7 linked regions of the Callithrix jacchus genome follow. The protein of the gene in region 7 purifies or fractionates together with the protein of the main gene of each other region. This does not show direct contact. Links are inferred from orthologs where the notes say so. Each region holds a gene or a part of one and is shown on either strand. Other genes may lie near its edges.

Region 1 (4,853 bases), on a different chromosome or scaffold from region 7:
CCAAAGCAAAAACAAAGGCTGATGAAACTTGGCTGGGAGCATAATCTAACTTCTTCACTACACCCAGACTACGGATTCACACCCCAACTATCCAATATGACCTCTCCCAGCTTCCAAAAGGCCGAGAAAAACCCAGAGAAAGCAGAGGCATGAAATGACTCCCAAGCATCTTTTTTTTTTTTTTTTTTTTGAGACAGAGTCTTGCTCTGTCGCCAGGCTGGAGGGCAGTGGCGCAATCTTGGCTCACTTCAACCTCCGCCTCCTGGGTTCAAGCAATTCTCCTGCCTCAGCCTCCCAAGTAGCTGGGACTACAAGCATGAGCCACCATGCCCAGCTAATTTTTGTATTTTTAGAAGAGACAGGGTTTCACCATGTTTGCCAGATGGTCTCGATCTCTTGACCTCATGATCTGCCCGTCTCGGCCTCTCAAAGTGCTGGGATTGCAGGCGTGAGTCACCACACCCCGCACATCTTTTTTTTTTTTTAAGACAAAAGTCTCATTCTGTGGCCTAGGCTGGAACGCAGTGGCACGATCTCAGCTCACTGCAACCTCTGCCTCTACATCCCAGGTTCAAGCAATCCTCATGCCCCAGCCTCCCGAGTAGCCGGGACTATAGGTGTCCATCACCAAGCTTGGCCAATTTTTATATTTTTAACAGAGACGGGGTTTCACCACATTGGCCAGGATGGTCTCAAACTCCTGGCCTCAAGTGATCCACGTGGCTCTCAGCTGGTGCTGGGATTATAGAGCTGAGTCATTGTGTCTGGCCCCAAGCATCTTTTAAACCACCAAGAATAGTTAACCCTGATGATTGCAGAAAAACCCTTTTAGAAGGTTAATAAATATCAAGGCACCAAAGAACAGAACATTAAATGTAACTTATCTACATGTTACTAAGGGGGTGCTGATCAATATCACTCCATTACGGGATCAGCCTCACCTTTAAACCCTTCTCCAAGATTTCTTCTGCCTTGGCCCCTCGAACTGTGCAGTGGACAGCAATCTTTTCATTTCTCCGGATGCCAAAGGATCTGACAGTGTATCTAGCTGCAGAAAGGGGGTAACAAGGAGTCAGATGCCATCATACCCCCACTACACTCACCTCTTTCCCAGAACACTATCTCCATGGCTCAGAGACATTATGTACTCCTCCGCACTCTATGTTGTGGTGTTCTAATTAGTGTTGCCTACATCTATTAATAAGATTTCATCCACAGCACAGATTTTCCAATTTCCAGACATCCAGCCATCCTTCAGCAGGTTAAGTTTTGAGAAGTTTATTAACTTGCCAAACATCACAGCTGGTAATGAAATCAAAGGCTGAATCCAAAGGCTTTCCATATTTCACTGCCCTAAGGCAACTGCACACATACAATTCATTTTACCTTCCACAATTATAAAGAATTACCCTCTTCATGGAAATAAAAAGGCAGAGGTCCAGAGAGCTCAGAGAGCGAAGCCATCACTCAAATCCAGGCAATCTAGGTATACAACTTTTTTTTTCTTTCGAGAGGGAGTTTCACTCTTGTTACCCAGGCTGGAGTGCAATGGCGTGATCTCGGCTCACCACAACTTCCGCCTCCTGGGTTCAAGCAATTCTCCTGCCTCAGCCTCCTGAGTAGCTGGGATCACAGGCACGCGCCACCATGCCCGGCTAATTTTTTGTATTTTTAGTAGAGACGGGGTTTCAACATGTTGACCAGGATGGTCTCGATCTCTTGATCCACCCGCCTTGGCCTCCCAAAGTGCTTGGATTACAGGCTTGAGCCACTGCCGCACCCAGCCCAGTATATAACTTTTGAGATGCCCTGTTCTTTTTGCAGCCTATATAACCCTAACTGCAAATCAAACCTAATCATCTTTACTTCATTCCTGACAACTCCACTCTATCTCATATCCTGGTTACTTGGGCTAGTCTTAGCTTAAGATCTGCTCATATAAAATCCAATGTTCCAATCCCACACCCAATCTTGAAAGACACTTCTTGGTTGGCTCATGAGTTCAATGCTGTAAGTGATGCGAACTGTCACTTTCTAAACAGACTCTAAAGCAAGTAAATTAAAAAATAACCAGGTGACCGAGTGGCCAGCCCTGTATGTCCTTGTCACTACTCACCTTTGGAAAACACAGGGGTCTGCCCTGTGAGCTGTTCCAACACCTTGGCAGCTCGGGTCAGTCTGTCTCCACTCTCCCCAACACAGATGTTGAGACAGAGCTTGCGGATGCGAAGTTCCCGCATGGGGTTCTCCTTTTCACCTTGATCCTGCTGCAACAGGGAAGAGCAGCAGTCAATACACTCACAGCTGACAGCCCTGAGTTTCTACTTCTATCTGCCTAGCATTTTAATTTCTGCTCATCCCAAATCGTAACGAAAATCCTAAACGTTTAAAGGGCATCAACGTGTTTGGGAGGCATCAAGGAAGTCAGCTCCGGACCCATTCTTCCTCCACGAAAGGAACGGGTGAAGAGAAACTCAGGATACTCGAGATCGAACCCTAAGAGGCTCAGGGTAACAAAGAGTGCCCCCACTGTAAGACCAACTAAAGGGAGTTAAGTGAGGGAACAGAAGGTAATTGCGGAGTTAACAGGAAGCACGTGGTTACGCAACGTCCTGAATCCCTTTCGGAAGCTGTCTGAAGGTTGGCGCCTTCCCTAAGCGGAGGAACCGGTTAAAGTTTCCCAGCACCGAGTAATCTCAAGTGCCTGGGACCAGGAAAAGCCCCGAACGCCCTGCCTTAGAACCCCCTATTCACCCCATATGCCTTCGCCGCAGCCTAGTAGCTGTGCTTCTGAGCTCTCCGACTAACTGCCCGGAACAGCTCCTAGAACGGTGGCAGGGGGCTTGATAGGCTTCAACCCTGCGTCCTTGGCCCTAACGGCTCTGCCAGCCTTGGGCTGGCAAGCATTGCGGGCTCCATACTCTTCGGGCTGCGGGCGAGGTAGCCCCCGCAGACTCGGCCTGCCATGGATGGAGGCGGATCAAGAAAAGCAAATCCAACTCCCAGCTACTCACCGCCATGATGGAGAACAGGAAGAGAAAGTAGAGCCTCCGGCCCAGGGCCTCATGGGCTAGGAGGCGGGTTCTTTTCCCAGGCTAACCACAGAGATGAAGAGGAAGAGAGGCACATTTGGCAGCGCAGTGCAGCGTCGGCTTCCCCCTTGTGGGTAGTGCTAGAACTGCAGGTGAAGCCGGCTGAAGACCTGGATCTGGGTTTTCCAAAAATAGTTTTTGAAAGCTCCCTGAATCAGCAAGTTCTTGAGTTTCCGGACCTCGAGGACGTTCTCTCTTCCCAGTGTCAGGAGCTGGTGGTCCTTGTGTATTGAGACTGCCAAAACTACATTAAATCAATCATGCAAATAATGATGCAAATTTATTCTGTAACAATGTAAACCCGTACAATTGATTGATTGAGACAGAGTCTCGCTCTGCCCTGGCTGGAGTGCAGTGGTGTGATCTCGACTCACTGCGACCTCTTGCCTTCCGGGTTCAAGCGATTCTCCTGCCTCAGCCTCCCAAGTAGCTGGGACTACAGGTGTGCACCACCACACCCGTCTAATTTTTTTTTTTTTTTTTTTTTTTAGTAGAGATGGGGTTTCACCATGTTGGTCAGGCTGGTCTCAAGCTCCTGACCTCAAACGATCCACTTGCCTTGGCCTCCCAAAGTGCTGGGATTACAGGCGTGAGCCACCACGCCTGGCACAAATAGAATTTATGCAAACGGAACAGAATGGTGGCTTAAGAGTCCCGAGCTTGAAGACAGGCAGATGTGGCCCCGTCTCGACCAGCTAGTAGCTATGTGACCTTGGGCAAATTACTACAGGGTGAGTATTCCTAATCTGAAAACGCTGGGACCAGACTTTTTTGGATTTGGGATTTTTCTGGATTTTAGAATATTTGTATAAACATAATGAAATATCTTGGGGATGGGGCCCAACTCTGAACAATAAATTAATTTATGTTCTATACATAACTTATACACATACCCTGAAGGTAATTTTATACAATATTTTAAGAAAGTTTGTGTACCTTGAACCATGAGAAAGCAAAGGTGTTACTATCAGCCACCCTTGTGGACACTCTGGTTGGTTGGCATAACCATTGTTCCAGACTCTAAATATATATGCTACTAATAAGCAATAATTTATTATGCTTATTCATACATAAGTACTTAACAGCAAAATATATGTTATGTCATTAATACAGTGAAGAAGTTCAGGGTAACTAAGCAGCAGAGGAGCATCACCAGAAAACCTGGATCAGCTGTAAAACAATGGTGACCCTTCCCCACCAACACCAGACCAGGTACCGTGGCTCACACCTGTAATCCCAGCACTCTGGGAGGCCAAGGCATGTGGATCAGTAGAGGTCAGGAGTTTGAGACCAGCCTGATCAACAGGGTGAAACCCAGTCTCTACTAAAAATATAAAAATTAGCCGGGCCTGGTGGTGCACGCCTGTAATCCCAGCTACTCGGGAGGCTGAGGCAGGAGAATCGCTTGAACCAGGGAGAGGAAGCTTGCAGTGAGCCGAGATCACACCACTGCACTCCAGCCTGGGTGACTGAGACCCTGTCTCAAAAAATAAAAACAAAAAACAGCAACCACAAATGGCAGGCTTTCAGTCTCCACTTACGATGCAGGGTTTTGATCAAAAGGTTACTGTACACTGTATTTTTTTTAGGTTGAGAAGAAACATCAGGAGCAGTTGGAGGGAGCAGGAAGTGGGTCCCCCTAGGGAAAAGGAGGCATTCTCTTGGATGGCTTTTTAAAATATTTCCTCCAGAGTCATCCGCCCTTTTTTATTGAGGCAGGGTCTTGCTCTGTTGCCCAGGCAGAACTGCAGTGGTGTGATC
Region 2 (4,902 bases), on a different chromosome or scaffold from region 7:
GACGGGGTTTCACTATGTTAGCCAGGCTGGTCTCAAACTCCTGACCTCGTGATCCACCTGCCTAGGCCCCCCCAAAGTGCTAGGATTACAAGTGTGAGCCACCACGCCTGGTCTTTTTTTTTTTTTTTTTTTTCCGAGACAGGATCTCAGTGTTGCTCAGGCTGGACTGCAGTGATGCAATCACAGCTCACTGCAGCCTAGACCTGCACTCAAGTGATCCTCCCACTTCAGCCTCCCTAGTAACTGGGAGTACAGGCATGTGACACCACGCCCAGCTAATTTTCACAATTTTTTTTGTAGAAACAGGATCTCGCCATGTTGCCCAGGTTGATATCGAACTCTTGGGCTCAAACAATCCTCTCACCTGGGTCTCCCAAAGTGCTGTGATTACAGGAGTGAGCTACCATGCCTTGCTCCTTTTTTTCTTTCTTTGAGTCGGAGTCTCGCTTTGTCAACCAGGCTGGAGTGCAGTGGCATGATCATAGCTCACTGCAGCCTTGAACTCCTGGGCTCAAGCGATCCGCCTGCCTCAGCGTCCCAAGGTGCAAGGATTACAGACTCATATTTTTAATTTATCTAACTTTAAGCACGGCCTGTACCTCCCCAAGTCGTGACAAACAACGACGTTTTCCTCCAGACTACCTTAGCTCCAGGAGGGCAAAACCACCCTTTTTCAACCAGAAGTTGAAGGATATTGAGGTCACACCACTCAAAACAGAGCGGGAATACAAAAATATCAGAGCTGGTGTTATCTCAGTGATACCTCTTTTAACTTCAGTGACACCCTACTCTCGTGGTCTTCTCCTACCTCCCTAGCCACTCTCCAGTCAGTCTCCTTTCCTGTACTTAAATTTCACAGTACCCCAGGAGTTGGCCAGGGTCTTCCGCTCTCGACTGAAACTTATTTCTTTGAGGTTTTCATCTAGTTCTCCAACTTTAAATAGCATCTCCATTGATAAGCTCACAAATAAGGCACTTTCAAGTCAGTGGAAGAAATGACAGAAGAACAAAGGACTTTCCATATACGGGGGAAAAAAAAAATCGTTCATCGCTGTGGGAGGGCTGCCGGATCTCGGCCGCGCTCCCTTTTGAGCGCCTACAGTGAGAGTAGGATTCCCACAGACCCCCAATCCATAAGTGAGTCAGGGCTCCAAGAAAGACCCACGGAGGGAGAGGGGAACGTCCGGGGAGGCGGAGGCTGATGAAGGCTGCCAGTGAGACCCGCAGAGGCTGATGTCGGCAGGTCTGCGCGCTCGCAACCGGACCCCCCCACCCGGTCAGCAGGAGGACCTTGGTGCGCGATCCTCGGATTCCGCGAAACCCGACAACCGACTGGATCCAAGAGCGCGGTCACCTCTAAAGTGACCATCAACCAATCGCTGGAGGAAATCCGCAGCCTCGTTTTAAGCGACCAATCCGAGACCGCGACGACCTATTATGACACGCTCGAGAACCAATGAAAAATGGGAATTCTCTTAGCCTGCCTCCTGAGTTTCAAGAGATCGCTCAAAGTTTTATAAACGGTACAAATTAGAAAACAACTATTCTGCAGCTGGATTAGAGACATTGTGTTTTCAAAGACGGTGGAGAGGACTGGAGTAAATTCTAGAACCGAGCAAGACCGCACTACCCCAGAACGTCGCAGGCAGCGGACTAGCTACTCACAATCTAGCCCAGGGCCGACACGGGAGAGACGTGCCGCTGCGCGCTGACGTCACGTGCCAGGCCCCGCCCCACCGGCCGCCCATATAGCGTAAGTCTGGCGCGCGCGCGCACCATTGTGTGGCTGGACTCGGCCGCCGCTGCGGTGTGAGGCGCGTGTTCGAGCTTTTGCCGTCCCCGCACCCGCACCGCGGCTACTGGCTTGCGGTCCGCCGTTCAACAACCAGCCCTTGGGCCCCTGCCCGCCACGGACATGCCGCGCGTCTACATAGGACGCCTGAGCTACAACGTCCGGGAGAAGGACATCCAGCGCTTTTTCAGTGGTTATGGGCGCCTCCTCGAAGTAGACCTCAAAAATGGGTGAGTCGGGCCTGAGCGCCCGCGCCTAGCGTCCCAGGCCTGGTGGCGGCGGGAACTCTCCTAGGAAAGAGGCGGCGAAGGCCGCGGCGCCGCGTGGCAGGGCCTTCAAGATGGCGGCGGCGCGGCGCCGCGGGGGCGCGCGGCGGGTTGCGGGCGCGCGCACGTGCGTGCCCTGACTAACGACGCCCCCGTCGGTATCCGGCCCTCGCACCGCCCCCAGGTACGGCTTCGTGGAGTTCGAGGACTCCCGCGACGCCGACGACGCCGTTTACGAGTTGAACGGCAAGGAACTCTGCGGCGAGCGCGTGATCGTAGAACACGCCCGCGGCCCGCGTCGCGATCGCGACGGCTACAGCTACGGAAGCCGCAGTGAGTCCCACCCCCGCGCGCTCCGCGCCCTTGGGGACCCTGGGGGGCGGGGGTGTGTGGGGTGGGGCCTCCCAGCCCGGGCAGGCGCGAGGACCGGGGGTCGTTTGACTCGGGAATCCCCGAGTCCCGCCGCCTTCACGTCTGCCCGGGGTAGGCATGGGACGCCGGAGCGCGGGGATTGGGGTGTTTGGTTTTGTTATTTGCCAAGTTGGGAGGTGGGTGGCTTCTTCTGGCCCCTTGTCAGCACTGTCACGGGTTCTTCCCACAGAGGAAGTAAGGGGTGGCTGTATTTGTTGTATCCCCCTTACTTACCTGTCAGTGCATTAGTTAGAGGATTAGAGGCAGGCTGGGGTGGAGGGGGGCGGGGGGGACGGGGGACGGGGAAGGGAGGATCTTAAAGTACAGATTTTAAAGCTATGGAAATTGATGGGGCCAAAGAAAGTACTATTTCAAAGTAATGTGGTGTTGTACCACAAAGTAGATCTAAATAAGCTTTATGCTGTATTTGAACTAGTTGGGGCATGTTATTGGGAGGAGGTGGGGGGATTTTTGGTTATGTTAAATGTTTGATGTTTAAACTGTTGCATGTTGAATTCAAACTTTTTAACAAGTCCTTGATGTTTCAATTTGAAAGTGACCAATGGGGCTGAGGCTGTGTCCACTGAGGCTAAGATGACTGCCTTTCCTGATTGGCCTTGGCTTTTCCATACATTGTGTGACCCTTGCCCTATGACCCTTTGGCTGACCTTACCGGAAGCCATGACGACAGCAGCCTTTTGCCATTAGACGCAGGGTGATGGTGAGGATTCCAAGGGTTAGACAAAACTGGTTAATCTGAACTAGGTGACTGTTACCTTGCGTGTTTTGTGGCCAAACCACCACCAAAAACCTCACACTGTGATGTAAGTACTTAGTGTAAAACTAGTAAACATTTTTGTAAAATGTAGAAATGCATGTAATCAGTTAAGTTTTATATTTTACAATGTTCTGTAAAATAAAACTTAGCGAGGTAAATTGAATAAAGGAGCAGTCACTCTCTAACAGATTGTAGGAGAGGTTTAGTTGGATTTAGTCTATTGGACTTGCCCTTAATTTAATTTATGGCAAATCGCAAATGTGTCAAAGGTTTAGCAATATAATAGCAAAGTCCTACTCCAGTAAATAAAAGTTGATATGTTTGTACTAACTTTCAAAGACATGCATTTCTATCATTACAAGGCATCTAATTGTTCCCTTCATGTGATAAAGGTGGTGGAGGTGGATACAGCAGTCGGAGAACATCTGGCAGAGACAAATATGGACCACCTGTTCGTACAGAATACAGGCTTATTGTAGAAAATCTTTCTAGTCGGTGCAGTTGGCAAGATTTAAAGGTGTGTGCTATAATTCAGGCTACGAGTGAATGCTTTAAAGTAGCCTTTTTTTACATTCTTATTTCTGGGAATTTATTGTAATATATAGATCTTTCAAGATTTCTGAGTATGACTAGTCTTGCCATTTTAGGATTTTATGCGACAAGCAGGTGAAGTAACCTATGCAGATGCCCACAAGGAACGAACAAATGAAGGTGTAATTGAGTTTCGCTCCTACTCTGACATGAAGCGTGCTTTGGACAAACTGGATGGTACAGAAATAAATGGCAGAAATATTAGGCTTATTGAAGACAAGCCACGCACAAGCCATAGGCGATCTTACTCTGGAAGCAGATCCAGGTAACTTGTGGGGAGGAAACAATATTTGCCAATAAAACAAAAAGGAAGTAATTGGGTAATTTCAGTTGTTGCCTACTTGAATTAAAGCCAGCTTTTAGTTTCTCTTGGCTATAATTGGGTTTTTTTCTAGTTGTTTTGACAGATTTAATTTTGTAGTAAAGAAATACATTATTCTTTGGCTTATCTATTTTTGCCAAATAGCACAGATTTATTTAAGGTGGACTGGGATTAAGAGTTCATTGTGTTTTTCATAATAGGTCTCGATCTAGAAGACGGTCACGAAGTAGGAGTCGCAGAAGCAGCCGCAGTAGATCTCGAAGTATCTCAAAAAGTCGCTCCCGGTAAATAATGTGTTGAGTCTCTGAATATTACTGTACTTGTTTATGGAGTTACGTGTATGTTCCTACAGAGTTTTGAGAAAATTGGTCTTCTCTTGTCCAGTTCCAGGTCGCGGAGCAAAGGTCGGTCACGTTCTCGATCAAAAGGCAGGAAATCTAGATCAAAGAGCAAATCTAAGCCCAAGTCTGATCGGGGCTCCCATTCACATTCTCGAAGCAGATCTAAGGATGAGTATGAGAAATCTCGAAGCAGGTCTCGGTCCCGATCCCCCAAAGAAAATGGAAAGGGTGATATAAAGTCAAAATCCATGTCAAGGAGCCAGTCCCGTTCCAATTCGCCACAACCTGTTCCACCCTCAAAGGCTCGTTCTGTGTCCCCTCCACCAAAAAGAGCTACTTCAAGATCCCATTCTAGATCTCGCTCAAAGTCAAGATCAAGGTCCAGGTCGAGTTCCAGAGAT
Region 3 (3,129 bases), on a different chromosome or scaffold from region 7:
CAAATAAAGAAGTTCAAATCTTCATGCTCACTTTAAGAATACCCATGAAACTGCCCAGGCCATCAAGGGTATGCATATATGAAAAGCCAGCAAGTGTCTGAAAGCTGTCACTGTATAGAAACAATGTGTACCATTCCAACGTTATGAGGATGGAGTTGGTAGGAGTGTCTAGGCCATACAGAAGGGCTGGGCACATGTTTGGTGACAAAGAGTTGAATTTTTGCTGTACACACTTAAAAATGCAGAGTGTAATGCTGAACTTAAGAGTTGAGCTGTAGATTCTCTGGTCATTGAGCATATTCAGGTGAACAAAGCACCCAAGACGTGCCACCAGACTCACAGAGCTCATGGTTGGATTAACTCCTGCGTGAGCTCCCCCTGCCACGCAGAGACGGTCTTCACTGAAAAAGAACACAGTGTCCTAATCCACAAGAGGAGGTACCCAGAAGAGAAAGATATCCCAGAAGAAACTGAAGAAGCAAAAACTTACGGCACAGGAATCAATTTAGCGTAAAATACATGCAAGTAGGAGTTTCAAAAATGGGCAAAAGACCTGAAGAGACATTTCTCAAAAGAAATACAAATGGCCAATGAGTTCCTGAAAAAATGGTCAACATCACTAATCATCGGGGAATTGCAAATTATGCAAATTAAAAATGAGCCCAGGAGGTCCAAGGCTGCCGTGAGCCAAGATTGAACCACTGCACTCCAGCTGGGATTACAAGCATGAGCCACCACGCCTATAAACATGTTTTCAAGTGCAAAGGAAAGTTGATAAGTATCAGTAAGGTATTATTGATATATGCTTAATACAAGCCCATTTGATCATGTATAACTAATCTTATAAACAATATACCTTCTTTTATCATCACTCTTAACCTTTTTTTCTGATTCCTTCTAGGAAGTTACTTTGCAAAAGATGCCATCTATTCCCACAAAAATTGCCCATATGATGCCAAAAACATCGTTATGTTTGTAGCCCGAGTCCTGGTTGGAAATTTTACTGAAGGAAATATGACGTACACGAGCCCTCCTCCCCTGTTCAACAGCTGTGTGGATACTAGGTTGAATCCCTCCGTTTTTGTCATCTTTCACAAAGATCAGATTTACCCACAATATGTGATTGAATATACTGAAACAGACAAACCCTGCGTGATTAGTTAGAACCGATGAATACAGCGTCAGAAGGATGCCATAACTATTCTGTTCCCTTGCAGAATAAATTGCCCCAGAAAGTAAAGTTTTATATTTTAATGTCTTCGATCAGTGGTCCCCAAACTTTGCTACACATTTGAATCATCTGGAAAGTTTTAAACAAATTCTGATGCTCAGGTTGCACCCCATGCCAATTAAATCATTTCTAGGCGTGAATGCCAGCCAGGCAGTTGTATTTTTTAAAGCCCTTCTGATGATTCTGATGTGTTGGAAAGTTTACCTTGTCTCACGTGTAACTGGCAAAGCTGATTTGAAAATTTTCTGTAATTGCAGCAACCTTTCTCTCCTGTCTACTCTTTTAGTTTACCGTATGCCATGGTTTTGTTTTGGCTATATTGAAAGAAAATTAATTTGGGAAATTTGGGAGAAATCTAATCATGCCTGTTGAAATAAGGATTTAAGACATTACAGCCTTAGAAGAACGATTGTGAAAAGCTGGGGAGAAAATGCTTAAGGACATGCTAGGAAAAAAGGAAAAATGGAAATGCTGTGGCAGACATAGCTGCCGTACTGTACCTTATCATTCTGATGAAACTGATTTGGAGCACCCATTTCTTTATCGCTACATTTATTTAGGGGACAAACTCCATCCAGGTTGACTGTCTCTGGAATGTGGTAATAAGAGCTGCCACGTATGGCTCAGAGAGAAGCAACCAATTGGAGTTAATTGCCCATTTGGGCTCTTTGTATAATGATAGCAAAGTAGACATTTATGTTCTAATTAATGTGATTATAGAGAAGGCTTTTTCTCAGGTCAGGCTTTTCATGAAAGTATTTTGAGAACAATGAATTGCAATAACCAGCTTCACACAAGCATGACTGATAAATGCGAGTGCTATTGTAGTCTTGGCAAACAAGCCAAGAACCTAGGAGCCAAGAACCTAGGAGCAGGGCCATTCCTACCATTCCTACCGAAGGGCTGGCCCCCTACGGAGACGAAATTTGTTTCCTGGTGAGCACAGAATCAGAACAAAGAACAGTATCCCAAAGAGGCCCTGTGCCTACCAGGAGCTTCTTTTTCTAAATATAATGGATTAGGTGGAATTGTAGTACCATCGGTTTTTATTTAGAGCAGGTGGAGTGCTTGGACCAATATTTCCTTCTTTCTTATGAACCAGGGTTTTCCTTCCAATTTTCTCTTTTCAACATTCCTTACCAGTCATCAAAGTTTCCTGTTATAATTTCTTCTAGCAGACATGTTAAAGTCAGATTTAATTAGCATCAGAATTGATTTTATATTAGTCAGATTTTGGATCATCACAGAGATCTCCACAACTCTTTGTCTTAAACGACTCCACCAGTAAAAAGTATAGAGATTTTTTTTTAGAGTAATTTTGTGGGAGGGGGACCACAAATGCTTATTCTCATTCACTCATGTTTTTTCATGGTAGCTTTCATTTTGGAGTGTTCATTTTCTGAACTTGATCCTCATATTGTAGGGGTGCAGTGTGTCCAACTCTTTCCAACAGCCCATTAGACACCACTAGCTGGATATTTCACAGGCATCTTTGATTCAACATGTCCACAGCGGAACTCTCCATCCTCCTCCCTCACAAGAATCTGTTTCTCTCCCGGCTTCTGTATGTAAGTGAACAGTATCACCATCTACCGATTGACTCAAGCAGAAATCCAGAAGTCATCTTTGACTCTTTGCTCTCCCTCCTGATAAATGTCTAAGCAGTTTCTAAGTCTAGTTTTACCTCTTACCTATCTCTGTTCCCTTCTAAGTTGTTTGATGTGTTTTCTTCACAGCAAGAGGCTTTTCTTTTTAAAAATGTACTTAGTAATGCATATTCAAAGCACAAATCCCATCAAGTCTTCAGGATAAAGTTCAAAACCACTATCATAGCCCCACGTGACCTCTCCCTCCCCTCCCCTCTGTGATTTAGTTTCTTCTGCACAAGCCACTCTGGC
Region 4 (4,121 bases), on a different chromosome or scaffold from region 7:
CTAAATACTGGGAACACAAATAAGTAACTCTGTTCTGTGGTCAGGCTACTTCCAGACTAAGTTACTCTTTTGAGTATTCTTAATTTTTCTAATCTTTTTCTTGTTGTAATTTTAAAAGGAAGAAATAAGTTGAAAGTCCAAATTAAAATTATTCACTCATTTTAGCGTAACACTATTTCTGGTTCTGGGAAATTTTCTTCACCTCCAGTTTGGCATTATTTCTGTATGGTAATTATTGACTCCCCCAAGATATAATGAGACTCAAATATTCACCTCTTGAAAAGTGGGTACCCAAATCTTGACATTTAGAAATTGTCTTCTCATGGGAAATTTCTTGTATGTAATCTTGAAACATCTGAGTTTATTTTATGCCTATTTTCTGAGTCCACAGTTACTTGGTTTGTTATTAATTTTAGGGGTAGATATTCAAACTTGATATTTTTCTGTCTTAGTTAATATCTTTGAAATGCTGTGTTCTTATACTTTCATCCCAAGGACCTAATTTACTAAGCTTAAAAAAAAAATGCTGGTTTCTGGATCTCTGATTGGCAAAGCTTCTACTATCTTGGTTTGTATTACATGCTTATATCCTGGTGTTATAGCTGCTTTTATTGTTGCTATAGTTAAGTAATAGAGATAATTAAGAAACAGTTTATGTTCAGAATCCTCCTTGTCTTGTCCTCTAGATGCTTTTTCTATCCCTTCAACAAGGTAGTAAAGATAGGTATCTTGCTGTGTGGCAGTTACAGCCACACAATGAATCATTGCTTGATTTAAAAGAGCACTAGAAGATGGTGACTCTGTGCCTAGAAAAAGGAGTATACTGGATAAATTGGACCCGCTTCTCTCTCCCCCCACCCCCGCTCAGGTATAGCATCATCTTTTTGCTTGAGGTATTTTTTTCTTTGCCTCTACAATGTGCAAATTAATATTATTATTATTTTATTTATTTTTATTTTTTTGAGACGGAGTTTCGCTGTTGTTACCCAGACTGGAGTGCAATGGCACGATCTCAGCTCACCGCAACCTCCATCTCCTGGGTTCAAGCAATTCTCCTGCCTCAGCCTCCCGAGTAGCTGGAACTACAGGCGCACACCACCAGGCCCAGCTAATTTTTGTATTTTTAGTAGAGAAGGGGTTTCACCATGTTAACCAGGATGGTCTCGATCTCTTGACCTCGTGATCCACCCGCCTCGGCCTCCCAACGTGCTGGGATTATAGGTGTGAGCCACCGCACCCAGTCTGCAAATTAATATTATTTAAACTTTCTCTTATTTGGCATTTTTAGTATGTTAAATCAACTTTTTAATATATCTTTTCCCCTTTTCCCTTTGTTCTATGTGTAAAATGAGTAAAACAGATTTTATAAAGTAGCACTATTTAATGAATAACTTTATTAAAACTATTAAACAGTCTAGTCATAGCCCAACTCACAGTTCGTACTATTAATATTGCTTTCCTTCCTTGCACACCTCCCTTTTAGAAAATAGAGGGTTTTGGCCTGGTGCTGTGGCTCACACCTATAATCCCAGCACTTTGGGAGGCTGAGATAGGTGGATCACCTGAGGTCAAGAGTTCGAGACCAGCCTGACCAACATAGTGAAGCCCAATTCTACTAAAAATATGAAAATTAGCCTGGTGTGGTGGTGCACGCCTGTAATCCCATCTACTCAGGAGGCTGAGACAGGAGAATACCTTGAACCCAAAAGGCAGAGCTTGCAATGAACCAAGATTGCACCACTCCACTCCAGCCTGGGCAACAAGAGCAAAACTCTGCCTCAAAAAATTAAAAAAGGAAAATAGAGGGTTTTTCAAAATGTATTTGTTTTTAAATCACCAGATTTTTATATTTTCTGCAGATAATATCGCCTACTGCGTTATTTTTGGCTGCAAAAGTGGAAGAACAGGCTCGAAAACTTGAACATGTTATCAAAGTAGCACATGCTTGTCTTCATCCTCTAGAGCCACTGCTGGATACTAAATGTGATGTATGTAAATACTTGGTTTTTAATTTTTCTTTGTAAATTTGAAACTTTTTCATAACGTAGGCCTAATAAAAACACAGTTCAATTAGTGTTGCTTCTAAATGCTGCTTATTTTTATTACCTCTTAGGAATGCAATGCTAGGAAGCAGTCTGGCAGAAAAACATTTCATGTATATTCATGAATTTGGATGTCATTCTGAAATAGAAGGCTTTGGTTCTAGATGCCTTGTAGATTCAAAGATACTTTGTTTCACATTTTGTTGTTCAGAGTTATGACATATGTAGAGGATAAGTCATATCACCTCCACTGATAGCTGTATTTGAGACCAGAATATAAATAACTCTTAAATTGACAGAAGATGAAGGAACAGAAAGTCTTTTGAATTTATCCCTAGACGAGTAGTCTTTTTAAAGTATTTTTCCTTTTTTAGTGCATGTACTACTACTTATCTCTCTGATACATAAAGCTCATTTTACTATGCTTTCATGAGTAGCATTCTTTTAGTATTTTAATTTTCCAAAAGAGTAATGTCACTTTCCAGACAACTTTTCATCAACATTGTAATAAACCTTATTTGAAAGAACTATTTTAAATTTTTCTGACATCTTAAGATGGAAGTTAGAATTGTGGCCCTTTAAAATCATTTTTCTAGCATCCTGGGTTGCTTAATCAGGAACCTTTATTCATTAAATGACTAACAGATTATATTAATTGAAGTTGATTTAAGTTGAAGTCCAGATTAATTTAAGCTTTAATGGAACTATATCTGATTTTATTAATGGCAAGTTTTATCATAGATTTTGGCTTTAAGGGAGTAAACTGTTAATGTAGCCATTAAATAATAATGAGTTTGTCATTATTTAAAGATAATTCAAGCTGTTTCTATTAACTATACGAATTCAGAATTATTTCCAGGGGTACTGTTCAAATAATAGAAATTCACTATGTTTTAAAAATCAGCTCAGTGACCTTTCAGAATAGAGCATAAATAAAATGAAAGGTGCTTTTACTCTCTGGCTTTAGCAATATGTCCTTACAAAAATGAATATAGGTATATTCATATAGGTAATATAGTATTTCCTTATCACCTTGGTCAATTGTCATGATTTCAGAATAAGATAGCAGTAAATTTTTCATATCCTTTATTTTCAGAGTAATTGTAATGGAAGGATAATTTCTTGCAATTGAGTAAGATGGGTTTCTGGTATTTATGTCCCCATGGGTATGAGATAAATTATTTTGGTATGTTTGGTCACTCCTGAGGTAGCAGAGAAGTTAATTCTGGATTAACTCCCTGACTTACTGTGACTTTCAAGGAATTACCACATGAAATGTCCTAGAGTGAGTTTGTAAGCCAGGTTTGAGTTCGATGTTTTTAGTTGACTTGGTGCTTCCTGTCTTTAATATCTCTTGAAGCACCAATGCCTAGAATGTTTCACTTTACAGACTGTGTACATCTTAGTTCAGTTAACTTACCCCCTTTCATATTGTTTACTTTTTCGTTTTTTGCTGTTTGTTTCCTGTTGTAGAAAATAATTCATTTCAGATTTGCTACAGAATATATGTTTTCTCTGTTACCCTCAGTTTATTTTCTCCATATTTCCAAACTATTGCAGTTCTTTTGTAATCAACCTGTAATTCTCACAAGATGTAACAGTCATGTAGTCTAGTAAAGTTATTTTTATTTTAATCAATTTGATAATATTTTTATCAAACAGGCTTATCTTCAACAGACTCAAGAACTGGTTATACTTGAAACCATAATGCTACAAACTCTAGGTACGTACTTATATCAGATAATGGCTTTTTGTTTGTACTTCAATAAAGTATTCTAAATAAGAGAAAAGATTTCTGAAATAATTTTATTATTGAAGAAAGTTATTTTAAAACAGATTTTAGACCAGAATACAATTGCTGGGTTATGAGGAAATTACTTTTCTAGAATTTAATTTCATTTGGCGTAATTAAATTAAATGGTAAACATACCTTTCAGTGTGATTTCCTAAGTGTTCGGGTAGTTGAAGTACTGTGCTTCACTCTGGATTTGCACTGGAGAGTAAAATGCTCCTTTAGGGCTGTTTCATATTGTGATGTGGACAGGCATACACAGCAATCCTTGTTCTCCTTGAGCTTCC
Region 5 (4,833 bases), on a different chromosome or scaffold from region 7:
TTTAGTGGTCAAAATAAAAGTAAGATTGGGTTAACTGCCTTCCTTCCTCCCAAACTATGGTGACTCCATCTTTGCATTTCATTCTCTGGGAAAGGCATTCAGTTGAATAATCCAGTCGTAAGAAAATTGGCCTAACTCCATGACATAGAGAGATTTCCATAGCGGCACAAACACACCCTCCAGCCTTGAAGGCCTTCATGGGAGATCTAGGGCCACAGGCAATCAGAAATTTCTTGGATCCATCAACTAAGCGCCTAAGGTCCCAAAGCATTTAAGATACTAAATCCTTCTATGACACTAATCTAACTCAAAGACACCATTATCCACTTATCTCTACTAATTGGGAGTGAGGCGGCCCCAGCTTAAAGCTAGGAGGAGGTAGCATAGCAAGCCCATTTAATATACCATGCAGTGTACCAGACAATGCTTCAACAGCACCAAGAACCCAAGCTCTAAAAGGCTATTCTAGCTGTCACACCAAGTACTTGGATCACTGGATACCTACCACTACCACCGCCAAAGCCGCCTCCGCCTCCGTTGTTATAGCTGTCATAGCTGCCACTCCCGCCATAGCCACTGCCCTGGTTTCCATAACCCTGTCCACCACTTCCATAGCCTCTGCTTCCTCCAGAGTAACCAGGGCCGCCTCCTCCATAACCACCTACAAGAATACAATTCTTCTCAATAAGACAAAAGTATTTGACAATGAAAACTTGTGCAAGTGTAATGGCTGAAGGCCTGCTCACAGCATGCGTGTTATGGGAAAAGTTGAGCTTGTCATGCACTAGAATTTTAGTCTTGACTAACCTATTCTAAAGACACAGGTTGCCAGGAATTTTTATCTACTTATTCCTAAAAAACTTACCATCATTGCCAAATCCATTATAGCCATCCCCACTGCCACCATAACCACCACCACCACGGCTGCCACCAAAGCCACCTGGAAGAAAACAAAGTTTTAAGTTTTAAGCATGATCTGCATATCAAATGACATTCTGGATGCACTTCCTGTACTGTAAAACCTGCATAGCAAAGATGGTAAGAAGTCAGAACTACAGGTAAATAAGCCGTACATACCACGACCGCTGAAATTTCCTCCACGACCAAAGTTGTCATTCCCACCGAAACCTCCTCCACGACCACCACCAAAGTTTCCAGAACCACTTCGACCTAAAGAGATGAAGTTTAAACGTTAAATCATTCATACTGGAGTAACTGAAAGTTGCTTTTAAGGTTTAATGAAGCAATAAGCATACCTCTTTGGCTGGATGAAGCACTAGCCATCTCTTGCTTTGACAGGGCTTTCCTAACTTCACAGTTGTGGCCATTCACAGTATGGTATTTCTGAACTAAAAAAAAAAAAATGAAGACAGGTACAACATGGTCTCAGGGTTTAGAACGCCACATGGACTGCGGAACCCTTACTAAATACCACTATTTGATACTTACTGACAATCTTATCCACGGAGTCATGGTCGTCAAAGGTTACAAAGGCAAAGCCCCTTTTCTTGCCACTGCCTCTGTCCGTCATGATTTCAATCACTTCAATTTTTCCATACTGTTCAAAATAATCTCTTAGGTGATGTTCTTCAGTGTCTTCTTTAATGCCACCAACGAATATTTTTTTCACAGTTAAGTGGGCACCTGGTCTTTGAGAATCCTAATAGGAGGAAAACCACAGGTTTAGATTAGCCAAACCTACACCCAAATAAAAAAATTTTTAAGTACAAAACTCCTGAATCCAAATACACTAGCAGCACATCGCCAAAAGAATTGAAGGGTAAAAAAACCACTCACTTCTCTTGAGACAGCTCTCTTTGGTTCCACAACTCTTCCATCCACTTTGTGTGGCCTTGCATTCATGGCTGCATCCACCTCCTCCACAGTTGCATACGTGACGAACCCAAAGCCCCTGGAGCGCTTGGTGTTTGGATCTCTCATGACCTGAGAACAGTGTTAATTCATGTAACAAAGTCTGACCCCAAAAACTTTTGTAATTTTAACTTTGAACAAGGGAATAGGAAACTTTATACCAGCCCTGTACAAAAACCCCTCCAGTTTCCCACTATCCTAGGTTTAAGAGGTAACTCTATCAAACAAAGCAGGACTTTCCTTCGTCAACAAGGCTCTAGCTATAATACTACTAACAACCTTCCTAAGTATTCAGAGAGAACCGCCCCAAGATAAACCAAGGAAATCCACTATTTTACTGTTTGGTCCCTTCCAATTCTTACCACACAGTCTGTGAGCGTTCCCCATTGCTCAAAATGGCTCCTGAGGCTCTCATCGGTTGTTTCAAAGCTCAACCCTCCAATGAAGAGCTTCCTCAGCTGTTCCGGCTCTTTAGGAGACTACAGTGGGGGAGGCGGAAGTGTTAAATGAGCTGTAACACCAAACAATTTCCATCGAGGAAAATCAAAACTAGACAACTGTGTATGTAGCACTTATTGTTCGTTCAGATTGCAACAAGCCATGTGCTTCTCTCTAACAGGGGAGAAGGTATGTTGGGGGTTGGGAGTGCTGCGAAATCCAAAGCGCATGCGTCCCTAGTCGCCTTCCGACGCACGCGCAACAAAGGCTTAGGCGGGAGGGGTACATCGCCAAAATGGGACTAATCGCTCTTTTAAAAACTCGCTCACCAAAGCAAGGTTTAGAAAAGGAAAAGCCTTATGTGCGTAAGAATTTTTGCTAAGACTATAGAGTGCTGCATAATAACTCATGATTGGCGCGAGCGGCCTCATGGCGATCAACAGGACAAAATGGCGACTTGAACTTTGGGAGGGGTAGGCCGTGGCAGCAACCTAAAAAACTGTAGAATGGGCTGGTGAAAGGAACGAAACCAAGCCGCATCTTACCAATTCAGGAAAGGAAGAGGAAGAAATTCAAGTTGGAAAGAGCGCCTAACTCACCTCTGACTTAGACATGATCGCGGGGAGAAGAGAGACTTTAACGATGCTGCTTCGGCGGCGTCCACGGGCAGAAAGGAGCAAACTGACGAACGTATCTGCCAGCCTACCTTCGGCCTTTCTTTTTTACCCCGCCTCCTCCCTTTCAGCATTGGTACACTCCGCCCTTGAACAGTTCTGATTGGATGTGTGAAATCTCTTCCCCCTACTATTGGCCTGTGGTGCCACACTGCTGTGTAACGTCATTCCTTTGGGCGGTCTACGCCCTCTCCACCCCTTGGAGTTCATTGGTTCCCGAGTAATATTATTCTTAACCAGTCTGATTGGCCAGCCGATAAATCATTCATATTTGAATATACCTTGGGTGTTTAACGCCTTTTTAATCTTCCCCGCACAAATATTACGCTTGGCAAAGCATGATTAACACTATGTGTCAGAAAAGCAGTTAGCCAGCAGGTCAAAATTTTGACTGCTTGTTGAGCGCACGTGTAGTAAAATGGCGAGTTTTGCGCAGGCGCATTAAGAACTTCCAGCAGCCTCTGGGAACACGTGAAATGGCGGGCAGTACTAGGCAGTGACCCTACGGCGCCTGCGTATTGGCGGGAGTTGGTTCCAGCTTTGCGCATGCGTGGTGGGCGGAGAAAGGGTCCGTTCCCGGATTGGTTGCGCAGGCGCAGGGAAGGATCCGTTTTGGCGGGCGGTTGGCGTTGCGCAGAAGGTGGTGGCGGTGGTGGCTTGCGTTGCGGCCTCACCATACAGCAACAGGGCAGACGTTAGCGTGAGTGATCACTCTCAATCCCGGGTAAGTGGCAGACAGTCTTCTCTACCCATCGTAGGTCTCGAACTGACTCTATTTGGGCCCGTTATTGTGTGAAATGAATGGACCGCGGGGTGGGGGATAGTGAAAGGGCAGCGGTGGGTCGGGCCAACCAATAGAAGAACAGGGGGCGGGATGTTTTAATCCCTGTAGGTTCTTTGGAGCGGTGCAGCTGAAGACTTTGACTGGCTTGCGTATACGCCAATTGGGTCTGCCTTGAGCTGCCGACTGATGGGCCCTTGGGGCCATCGGAATGTGGGAGACGGGTTTCCCCTCCTGAGCTGCGTCTCACTGAGCCAGTAAGCGCGAAGCGCGCGGTAGGTTGGGCTTCTCCAGGAGGCAGCGGTTTGACTCCAATGGGGAATGCGGGAGTCGGGCGGTTAAACTGATGGACCGAATCTGGAGCCAGTAGACGGACAGCCTAAGGAAAGTGCTCGGACCAGTCGTCCAATCGACTCCAGAAGAGGGAGGTCTTCGATTTGGGGTTGTGAGGAAGGGGAGTCGGTGAATGTAATGGCGTGTGAGGGTGAATGTTTTATCCACAGTGACTTCTCTAAGGAAGCCTTTAGGCCTCTGTCCCATAAACCTCCTTGAAAGCGTAAGTTTGCTCCTGGCTGCCTCGACTTGACATTTTCCCCCCCACCTCCTCACCACTTGAGGTTTGGAGAACAGGGGAGGGTTTTGTTGTTGTTAAGTAATACTTTGAGAAGTCGCTTCTTTAGGAAGCTGTTAAAATGTTAGAACGAATAGGAAAAATCACAACATACTGTCATGGAAAGGCGTTCGAGAAATATTTCTTTCCTAATAGTGCATATTTCTGAACTAATATGTTGTAGGTCTAATAAAAAAGTTTCGGAAAGCTACACCCTAAAGTGTGTCAATCCTAGGGACACAGTAGGATCGAGGCAAGTTGGATCTTTAATGTTTAAAACTTTGCAGGGTTAATGATCTGTGATTAAAACTAAATAAAAAATGAAGTCAGTTGTTTTGTGTTTCTAGTCATAATCACATACCACCCCTTTTCTGTTTTATATAATCCATGTACCCAGTGCTTTTATTTTAGTCTCTTTCTCCCGGGAACTTTTCCCGCTCATGTTTCCCCTTTCTTCA
Region 6 (4,121 bases), on a different chromosome or scaffold from region 7:
CCTCAGGTGATCTGCCCACCTCGGCCTCCCAAAGTGCTGGGATTACAGGCTCGTGAAGCCACTGCACCTAGTTGATTTTCTTTTCTTTTCTTTTTTTTGCCGATTCTCTTTTCTATCTATACTCATTTACTTGGTGATCTAAGCTAGGCCTATGACATTAAAGTTATATAAAATCACCAAATTTATATATCCAGCCTAGATAATTATTCATGCCTTCTTTTATTTTCTTCTTTTTATAGAGATGGGGTCTCACTTTGTTGCCCAAGTTGGTCTTCAACTCCTGGACTCAAGTGATCCTCCTGCCTCAACCTTCCAAAGTGCTGGGATTATAGACATACAGATGTGAGACACTGTGCCTGGCCTACCTCACATGCCTTCTTGACAGAAACAACTGGATGTCTAACTGGCATCTAAAACTTAACATCCTGATCTTCTTCTTCCCTCCAAACCTATTCTACCAAAAGTCCTACCATTTTAGTAATAAGAGCTCATTTTTTTTTTTTAGCTCAGGACAAAAAAAATGTGGCCAGGTATGGTGGCTCACACCTATAATCCCAACACTTTGGGAGACTGAAGTAGGAGAATAGCTTGAGGCCAAAATTTCAAGACCAGCCTGGCCAACATGGCAAGTCTCCATTTCTACAAAAAAAAAAAAAAAAAAAAAAAAAGAAAGAAAAATAAAAGAAAAAAAAGCCAAGCGTGGTGGCATGTGAGTACAGTCCTAACTACTTGGAAGCCTGAGGTAGGAGGGTTGCTTGAGCCCAGGAGTTTGAGTAACAGTGAACTATGACTGTGCCACTGAACTCCAGGCTAAGCGACAGAATGAGATCTTGTCTCTAAAAAAAAAAAAAAATTAAAAAATAAAAAACAAAACAGGCATCTCTGACGCTTTCTTTCACAATCCAGATGTAATTACTATCAGCTATTTCAAAATCTTTCCACACTCAACCACTTTCAACTCCTTCACTGTTACAACTCTGGTCCAAGAAGCCATTACTTCTTGACAGGATTATTGCAATAACCTCTTAAATTATTTCTGTTTCTGGTCTTAACCTACTGCAGTCTATTCTAACACAAGAGCCAGAATTATTCCATTAAAATCTAAGTCAACTGGGCACGGTAGCTCATACCTGTAATCCTAGCACTTTGGGAGGCTGGGGCAGGCAGATCACTTGAGGTCAGGAGTTCGAGACCAACCTAATCAACATGGTGAAATCCCATCTCTACTAGAAATACAAAAATTAGCTGGGTGTGGTGGCACACACCTGTAATCCCAGCTACTGAGGACAATGAGGCAGGAGAATCGCTTGAACCCAGGAGGCAGAGGTTGCAGTGAGCCAAGATTTGTACCACTGCACTCCAGCCTGGGCAACACAGTGAGACTCTGTCTTTAAAAAAATAAATAAATAAATAAAACCTAAGTCAAATCATGTTTAGTTGTGGGACAGAATCCAACCAATAGTTAACCATCTCCTGTAAAGTAAAAGCACATGTGTCCCTATGCTATGCTTTTATCTTTACTACTCTCTTACTTGCCCATTCTGCTGTTCCTCAAACATAGAAAGACATGCTCTGCCTCAGCACCTTTCCTCTTGGATGTTCCTTCTGCATGAAGCAGATGTTCTTCTTCAAGATACCCACTTGGTTCACACCTTCATGTCACCTCAGTGAAGACTTCCCCAACCAACCTTAAAACTGCAACCCTCACACCAACACTCTATCTCCTTTCCCTACTTTATTTTTGTTCTCACATTTGTCATTGACTAATCCATTATATTTTACTCATTAATACTGGTTTGCATTCTATCCAATTAGAATACAAAAGAGGGATTTTTGCTGTTCCCTCTTCCCAGAGCCTAAAATAATGCTTGGCCCATGACAGACACTCGATGAATTGTGTTAAATGAATGAAAACAGAAGATATTGGCGGCCATCTACCTTATGCAAGCATAAAACTGGTCCACACTCCCATATTATCCCCAATAAATAACCGAAAAGAGGAAATAAGTGGCAAAGGTAAGTCTGAGACTGGCTCCTATCGTAGTCTTAAAGGCTTTCATGTCAGTCATTATGAAGTCATTTGTGTTATCTCAACTAGTACAGGGAAAAGCCAGGAAATTTTCCAGTGTCAATGTCCATGCACATCACTCCCCACTCTAATTCCTACAGCAGTCTGCCCATGTAGTCTTCCCCACTTACAGTAGCTGTGAGATTAATGCCTCCCTTGTCCTTCTTCTTAAAGCCAATGTTGGGGGGTTTGCTGTTCAAGCGAATGCCAAAGCCTTCCAGTTCATTTTCAATTATCTTCTTATGTCCCAAGGGTTTCAGGACATCCAAAACAATCAGGATCAAGTTACAGGTTCGGGCCACTGAAAAATAAGAAAAAAAATACCCAAGACAGTTCAGTAAAGCTTTAACCCAAATACTCAAGTAGAGGTGTTTTTCCCCCTACATTTAAGGGTCTGTCAAAGGATTTTCTGTAATACATACACATATGAAGGTTTTTTGTTTTTTTTTTTTTTGAGATGGAGTCTCGCTCTGTTGCCCAAACTGGAGTATAGTGGTGCGATCTCAACTCACTGCAACCTCAACCTCCCTGGTTCAAGCGACTCCCCTCCCTCAGCCTCCGAAGCTGGGATTACAGGTGAATGCTACCAAGCCCAGCTAATTTTTTTGTTTTAGTAGAGATGGGGTTTCACCATGTTGGCCAGATTGGTCTGGAACTCTTGACCTCAGGCAATCCCGCCTCAGTCTCCCAAAGTGCTGGGATTACAAGTATGAGCCATTGTGCCCAGCCATAAAGTTCTTATAACTACGAAAGATTTATACCGGAAGTCAATTTGCTTTGTATGCCATGAAATCAGTACCATATTTGCCCAAGAGTTGACACATTTTCTAGATGTAATAGCAGGAAAACAAGTCAGAATAAAGATACAAACCAGGAAATAAACTAAATCCTCAGATACGGGTTAGAAAGGTTTAAAATAGGAAGAACTGTGAAAGAATATTATCCGGTTAGCGTTTTTTTTTGTTTTTGTTTTTTTTTTTGGAAATGGAGTCTCACTGTCACCCAGGTTGGAGTGCAGTGGCACGATCTTGGCTTATTGCAACCTCCACCTCTTGGGTTCAAGCAATTCTCCTACCTTAGCTACCCAAGTAGCTGGGACTACAGGTGCATGCCACCATGTCTAGCTAATTTTTTCTATTTTAGTAGAGATGGGGTTTCACCATGTTATCCAGGCTGGTCTCGAACTCCTAAGATCAGGCCATCTGCCTGCCTTAGCCCCTCAAAGTGCTAGGATTTCAAATGTGAGGTACCTCACCTGGCCTTGGTTAGCAATTTTTTTTTTTTTTTTTTTTTTTTTTGAGAGGCAGTCTCGCTCCATTGCCAGGCTGGACCTCATGATCTGCCTGCCTCAGCCTCCCAAAGTGCTAGGATTACAAGCATTAGCCACTGTGCCCAACCCTTTGTGCCTCTTTTCAGTCTTCCCCACTATACTATTCCCAGCCAACCACTGATTTGCTTTCTGTCACCATAGGTAGTTTGTTTGCACTTTTAGAATTTTGTATAAATGGAATCATATAAAATGTATTATTTTGGCCTGGGACAGTAGCTTATGCCTATAATCCTAGCAATCTGGGAGGTCGAGACAGGAGGATTGCTTGAGGCCAGGAATTTGAGACCAGCCTGGGCAACAAAGTAAGATCCAATCTGTATGGGGAAAAAAAATGTAGTCTTTTGTGCCTGGATATCTTATTTTTATTGACTAACTGAGACAGTCTTACTCTATTGCCCAGGCTGGAGTGTAGTGGCATGACATAGCTCACTGTAGCCTCTAACACCTGGCCTCAAGCAATCCTCCTGCCTTGGCCTCCCAAAGTGCAGGAATTACAGGCATGAGCCACTGTATCTGGCCTTTTTCTTTTAAAAAAAAATTTTTTTTTTTCTTTTAAGAAACGGGTGTCCCTCTTTGGCCCAGGCTGGAATACAGTACTGTGATCATAGCTCACTGTAACCTCAAACTCCTGGGCTCAGTGACCCTCCCAAAGTACTGGGATTACAGGTATATACCACCATGCCCAGTTGTGCCTGGATCTTTTAACTTAGCATATTGTTGACA
Region 7 (4,121 bases):
ATGAAGTCAGGAGTTCGAGACCAGCCTGGCCAACAGTGAAACCCCATCTCTACTAAAAATACAACAATTAGCTAGGCATGGTGGTGTGTGCCTGTAGACCCTACTAGGGAAGCTGAGGCAAGATGATTGCTAGAACCTGGGAGGCGGAGGTTGCATGAACTAAGACTGCATCACTACACTCCAGCCTGGGAAACAGAGCAAGACTCCGTGTCAAAGAAAAAAAAAAAAGAATATACTACTTTATAAGTAAATTCAGAGGCAACCATTAAATTCAGAGGCAACCATTATCCACAAGTTGGTCCCTTTACTGAAGCAAACTTACATCCATCTCTAGATTTTTCTATCTGTTCTCGAAGAAATCTATCCTTGTGAAGATTTGCATCCCCAAACCAGAAGTCCACTTGCTTAGCAATATCTGCAAGCACCTGTTTAACTCGTGATCGTTTCTTTTTTTCAACTTCTTTTTTCTTTTCAGTGCTTTCTTCTTCCATTATCTTTTCTTGATTTCCACTTTCAGTTTCCATTCCTGTGCATTATAAGAAAAAGAGGTAAATATTTAAATCAGCAAAACAGCAAATATAGTTTAATTTAGAGTAGCCTTTAATTGTCTGAGAGAATAATGGTCTCATCATTTGGCTGTCAGAAGACAAAAGGAAAATTTATTTTTATATTTAATAATTTAAATTATAAAATAATTTACCTCCTATGTTAGAAATCGCAGCTTTAGTTTTTTTCCACCTTTTAAATTGCAGGGCCAGATTATTCTAGTATAACATAACAACTATGCGTTTATCTCACTAAGCTGTACTTTTAAGCCAGTAAATGAAAAGTGTAAGATTAAGCAACCTGGATATTTTCCATCACAACCACCACCCTCCCCCACCAAATAAGTTTTATTCACTTTTCTTTTTTTGAAATGAAGTTTCATTCTTGTTGCCCAGGCTGGAGTGCAATGGTGTGATCTTGGCTCACTGCAACCTCCGTCTCCTGGGTTCAAGCAATTCTCCAGTCTGAGCCTCCTGAGTAGCTGGGAATTACAGGTGCCCACCACTACACCCGGCTAACTTTTGATATTTTTGGTAGAGATGGGGTTTCACCATGTTGGCCAGGCTGGTCTGGAACCCCTGACCTCAGGTGATCTACCTGCCTTGGCCTCCCAAAGTACTGGCATTGGCCGGTGTGCCCGGCCTATTCAGATTTTTAATATTATAACCTTTATGGGACAAAATAAAAATAAACTGATTATTGATTTTGATTTTTAAAATGTTAATTTATGCTTTCTAGAGGCAGAAATTTCTTTTTTTACTTTTTTTTTAATCTTTTTTTTTTTTTTTAGATGGGGTTTCACATGTTGGTCAGGCTGGTCTTGAACTCCCAACCTCAGGTGATCCGCCTGCCTTGGCCTCCAAAGTGCTTGGATTATAGGCCTTAGCCACCACGCCTGGCCTCTTGGGCAGCAATTTCTAACCCCCTCCTTCCTCAAGTTACTTTGCATAGCTCTTCCCCTTTGCTTTGTCAGCTCCAGTCATACTGTCCTTGTTGTACTTCCTGAAACTCACCCAGCAAAATCTATCAGGTCTAAACCTGTTCTTGAAACACATATCCCCAGCGATAACAGCTTGCTCTCCTACCTCCTCAAGTGCCTATTTAAAGGTCACCTCTTTGAAGTCTCCTCCCACAACCATATTTAATAATGCAAATTTCTGGACACATACATGGTAACTTCCATGTCTTATTTTCGTCCATAGCATTTATCATCTAACATTACTACAACTACTTTGCAATTCATTTTCTTTCCTAGAATGTAAGATCAATGAAATCAGAGATTTTTGTCTGTTTTGTTTACTGACAGATTGTCAGTCCCTGCCACAACAGTCCCTTAAAAATCTGTTGAATAAATTGTGCCTACATTTTGTTGAATGAATTGAATCACTTGAGGTATATGAGCAAAGGATCCGGTCTGGGATAACACAGCCTGCTTGAGAATAACCTCAGTCTCCCATAATACAGTCTTCTTGGAAACTGGAGAAACCAATGGGGAGTGTTGTATCTGTTTCCCATGTTGTACCTGGTTTGGAGCAGCTATTGAATGACATGGAGGCCTTATACCTATGTGACCGGAACAACAGATTGACAGGCAAAAGGTGTTAAAGCTTTTATGTGTCAAATTATCCTAAACACACCTTGGTCCTTATCTAGGGAAGCCATACATGCCTCTTGTGGGTAAATGGGAGAAAAAAGAAACGAATCTGGGTAATTGCTAGATATAATGGCTTGGCCATTGCTGGGATGAAGAAGCTATATCTACCCTATCTTTTGCCTTGTATCTTTCTTTGGTAAACATAGTATTTGAATCACTTGAGTCTGATAGCTGGTAAGAGGGTCCAAAGCCCTTAATGCATTTCACCTCAAATCTCCAACTAAACATGCATTCTCATCAACAGAAGGACATTTTGGCATTTTAGAACAGGCTTCAGTAGATCAGTCAAGCACCAAGTTTGAAGATATCCAAGTAATATCATATTTAGGTGATGCTAATTTAAGACATAAAACACAGCTACAGGTCAGAATAATAGAAAAACAATCAGGTGTCATTAAGTACCACATAACCACGTTCTTCACCTAATGGTCTTACTTCAACCCATTCTGTCAGGCTTTCCTCTGCACCATTCTAGAGATACTGCAAAGTCCTCAATGGGCTTGGTCTACTTGACCTCTCAGCAGCAAATGCAGTTGGTAACTTCCTCCTTGAAAATACTTTCTTCGGCTGGTCATGGTGGCTCACACCTGTAATCCCAGCACTTTGGGAGGCTGATTACAGATGCCTGCCACCATGTCTGGCTAATTTTGTATTTTTAGTAGAGATGGGGTTTCACCATGTTAGTCAGGCTGGCCTTGAACTCCTGACCTCAGGTGATTCACCTACCTTGGCCTCCTTCAACTTATTTAAGGATGCCATATTCCACCAAAAATTAACCAATCAAGCTATTTATTAGCTGTGTGGATTTTGAGGAAGTTACACCATCTCTCTGTGGTCTATAAAACATGGATAAAAATCATACCTATGTAATAGTCGTCAGCATTAGCCAAAATAATGAAAATAAAGTACTTCAAATTGCTGATACACAGAACACAATAAGTAACCATTATTCTATTCAATCTGTTGTTAAATCTTATCAGTTTGACTTTTGAAATGGCTCCTCATCTCCATCCAGTGTTTTCTGCAACTACTGTCACTAGAATATGGCCACAGTTTATAAACTGTTCTGTAAGTCATCTGTTCTCAGCAGGAGCCTATGTATAACCCATCTAAAATACAGACTTGGTTTTGTGATGCTTATGTCAAAACATGCAACATTTGAAATTCCTAAGCACCTTCCTGTAACATAATACACAATTTAAGAAAACATTGCTTAAAAAAAAAGTAACATTTTACTGGAATAAAAGTTACCATGTAACACCACCAGTTACTTTATATACATTTTTGTAAATCCTCACAATCCCACAAGGTAGCAGTTTCTTCCTTTTTTTTTTTTTTTTTTTTTAGACACTGTCTTGCTCTGTCACCCTGGGTGGAGTACAGTGGCACAATCTTGGCTCACTACAACCTCCGCCTCTGGGATGCATGGTTAATTTTTGTACTTTTAGTAGAGACAGGGTGCCATGTTGGTCAGGCTGGTTCTTCCATCTTCTTAAGACTCAAAGGTTAAGTCACTTGGTCAAAGCTAGCTAAGTAAGTTGTCTCAGGTATGTTTGATCCCAGATTGTCTACCTTCTGGTAGAATTTCCTGCAATTTATCACCATGGACTCTATGTTCTGACTCAAAATTTTTTTTCAATTTTTTTTTTAAAGACGAGGTTTCACCATGTTGGTCAGGCTGGTCTTGAACTCCAGACCTCAGGTGATCTGCCCAGCTTGGCCTCCAAAGTGCTTGGATTACAGGCGTGAGCCACCACGCCCGGCCTGACTCAGGAATTCTTAACCTGAAGTCCATGTAACTTTGGACAAGAATTCTTGGGGGCTCCATTAAACTGTTAAATGATACACATTAAAGATAAGGTTAAAAAAAAAGACTCTTGTACAAATATAAAATGAATTCATGGTAAAGATTTAAGGACAG

What was found.
Region 1: the proteins of LARP7 (region 7) and RPL11 purify together in Homo sapiens (affinity purification with mass spectrometry; 3 studies listed by BioGRID and IntAct, with this or other methods). This does not show direct contact. The link is inferred for Callithrix jacchus from reciprocal best matches to the Homo sapiens genes LARP7 and RPL11.
Region 2: the proteins of LARP7 (region 7) and SRSF6 purify together in Homo sapiens (affinity purification with mass spectrometry; 3 studies listed by BioGRID and IntAct, with this or other methods). This does not show direct contact. The link is inferred for Callithrix jacchus from reciprocal best matches to the Homo sapiens genes LARP7 and SRSF6.
Region 3: the proteins of LARP7 (region 7) and ZC3HAV1 purify together in Homo sapiens (affinity purification with mass spectrometry; 3 studies listed by BioGRID and IntAct, with this or other methods). This does not show direct contact. The link is inferred for Callithrix jacchus from reciprocal best matches to the Homo sapiens genes LARP7 and ZC3HAV1.
Region 4: the proteins of LARP7 (region 7) and CCNT2 purify together in Homo sapiens (co-immunoprecipitation; 3 studies listed by BioGRID and IntAct, with this or other methods). This does not show direct contact. The link is inferred for Callithrix jacchus from reciprocal best matches to the Homo sapiens genes LARP7 and CCNT2.
Region 5: the proteins of LARP7 (region 7) and HNRNPA1 purify together in Homo sapiens (affinity purification with mass spectrometry; 4 studies listed by BioGRID). This does not show direct contact. The link is inferred for Callithrix jacchus from reciprocal best matches to the Homo sapiens genes LARP7 and HNRNPA1.
Region 6: the proteins of LARP7 (region 7) and DRG1 purify together in Homo sapiens (affinity purification with mass spectrometry; 3 studies listed by BioGRID and IntAct, with this or other methods). This does not show direct contact. The link is inferred for Callithrix jacchus from reciprocal best matches to the Homo sapiens genes LARP7 and DRG1.

What each region holds. Positions count from the first base shown.
Region 1 is NC_133508.1:60,429,522-60,434,374, reverse strand, and holds the start of RPL11 (large ribosomal subunit protein uL5), read right to left. Parts: upstream 3,044-4,853; 5' UTR 3,021-3,043; coding exon 3,015-3,020; intron 2,268-3,014; coding exon 2,117-2,267; intron 1,049-2,116; coding exon 942-1,048; intron 1-941.
Region 2 is NC_133506.1:38,841,763-38,846,664, forward strand, and holds the start of SRSF6 (serine/arginine-rich splicing factor 6), read left to right. Parts: upstream 1-1,777; 5' UTR 1,778-1,915; coding exon 1,916-2,022; intron 2,023-2,242; coding exon 2,243-2,391; intron 2,392-3,639; coding exon 3,640-3,764; intron 3,765-3,894; coding exon 3,895-4,103; intron 4,104-4,360; coding exon 4,361-4,444; intron 4,445-4,544; coding exon 4,545-4,902. UniProt on the Homo sapiens protein: Plays a role in constitutive splicing and modulates the selection of alternative splice sites. Plays a role in the alternative splicing of MAPT/Tau exon 10. Binds to alternative exons of TNC pre-mRNA and promotes the expression of alternatively spliced TNC.
Region 3 is NC_133512.1:108,285,264-108,288,392, forward strand, and holds part of ZC3HAV1 (zinc finger CCCH-type antiviral protein 1), read left to right. Parts: intron 1-901; coding exon 902-1,164; 3' UTR 1,165-3,129.
Region 4 is NC_133507.1:95,699,831-95,703,951, reverse strand, and holds part of CCNT2 (cyclin-T2), read left to right. Parts: intron 1-1,859; coding exon 1,860-1,988; intron 1,989-3,704; coding exon 3,705-3,765; intron 3,766-4,121. UniProt on the Homo sapiens protein: Regulatory subunit of the cyclin-dependent kinase pair (CDK9/cyclin T) complex, also called positive transcription elongation factor B (P-TEFB), which is proposed to facilitate the transition from abortive to production elongation by phosphorylating the CTD (carboxy-terminal domain) of the large subunit of RNA polymerase II (RNAP II).
Region 5 is NC_133510.1:65,267,816-65,272,648, forward strand, and holds the start of HNRNPA1 (heterogeneous nuclear ribonucleoprotein A1), read right to left. Parts: upstream 2,986-4,833; 5' UTR 2,925-2,985; coding exon 2,910-2,924; intron 2,352-2,909; coding exon 2,235-2,351; intron 1,945-2,234; coding exon 1,798-1,944; intron 1,661-1,797; coding exon 1,450-1,660; intron 1,350-1,449; coding exon 1,257-1,349; intron 1,171-1,256; coding exon 1,078-1,170; intron 941-1,077; coding exon 866-940; intron 662-865; coding exon 506-661; intron 1-505. UniProt on the Homo sapiens protein: Involved in the packaging of pre-mRNA into hnRNP particles, transport of poly(A) mRNA from the nucleus to the cytoplasm and modulation of splice site selection.
Region 6 is NC_133502.1:201,906,258-201,910,378, reverse strand, and holds part of DRG1 (developmentally-regulated GTP-binding protein 1), read right to left. Parts: intron 2,370-4,121; coding exon 2,200-2,369; intron 1-2,199. UniProt on the Homo sapiens protein: Catalyzes the conversion of GTP to GDP through hydrolysis of the gamma-phosphate bond in GTP. Appears to have an intrinsic GTPase activity that is stimulated by ZC3H15/DFRP1 binding likely by increasing the affinity for the potassium ions.
Region 7 is NC_133504.1:84,550,225-84,554,345, forward strand, and holds part of LARP7 (la-related protein 7), read right to left. Parts: intron 527-4,121; 5' UTR 525-526; coding exon 323-524; intron 1-322. UniProt on the Homo sapiens protein: RNA-binding protein that specifically binds distinct small nuclear RNA (snRNAs) and regulates their processing and function.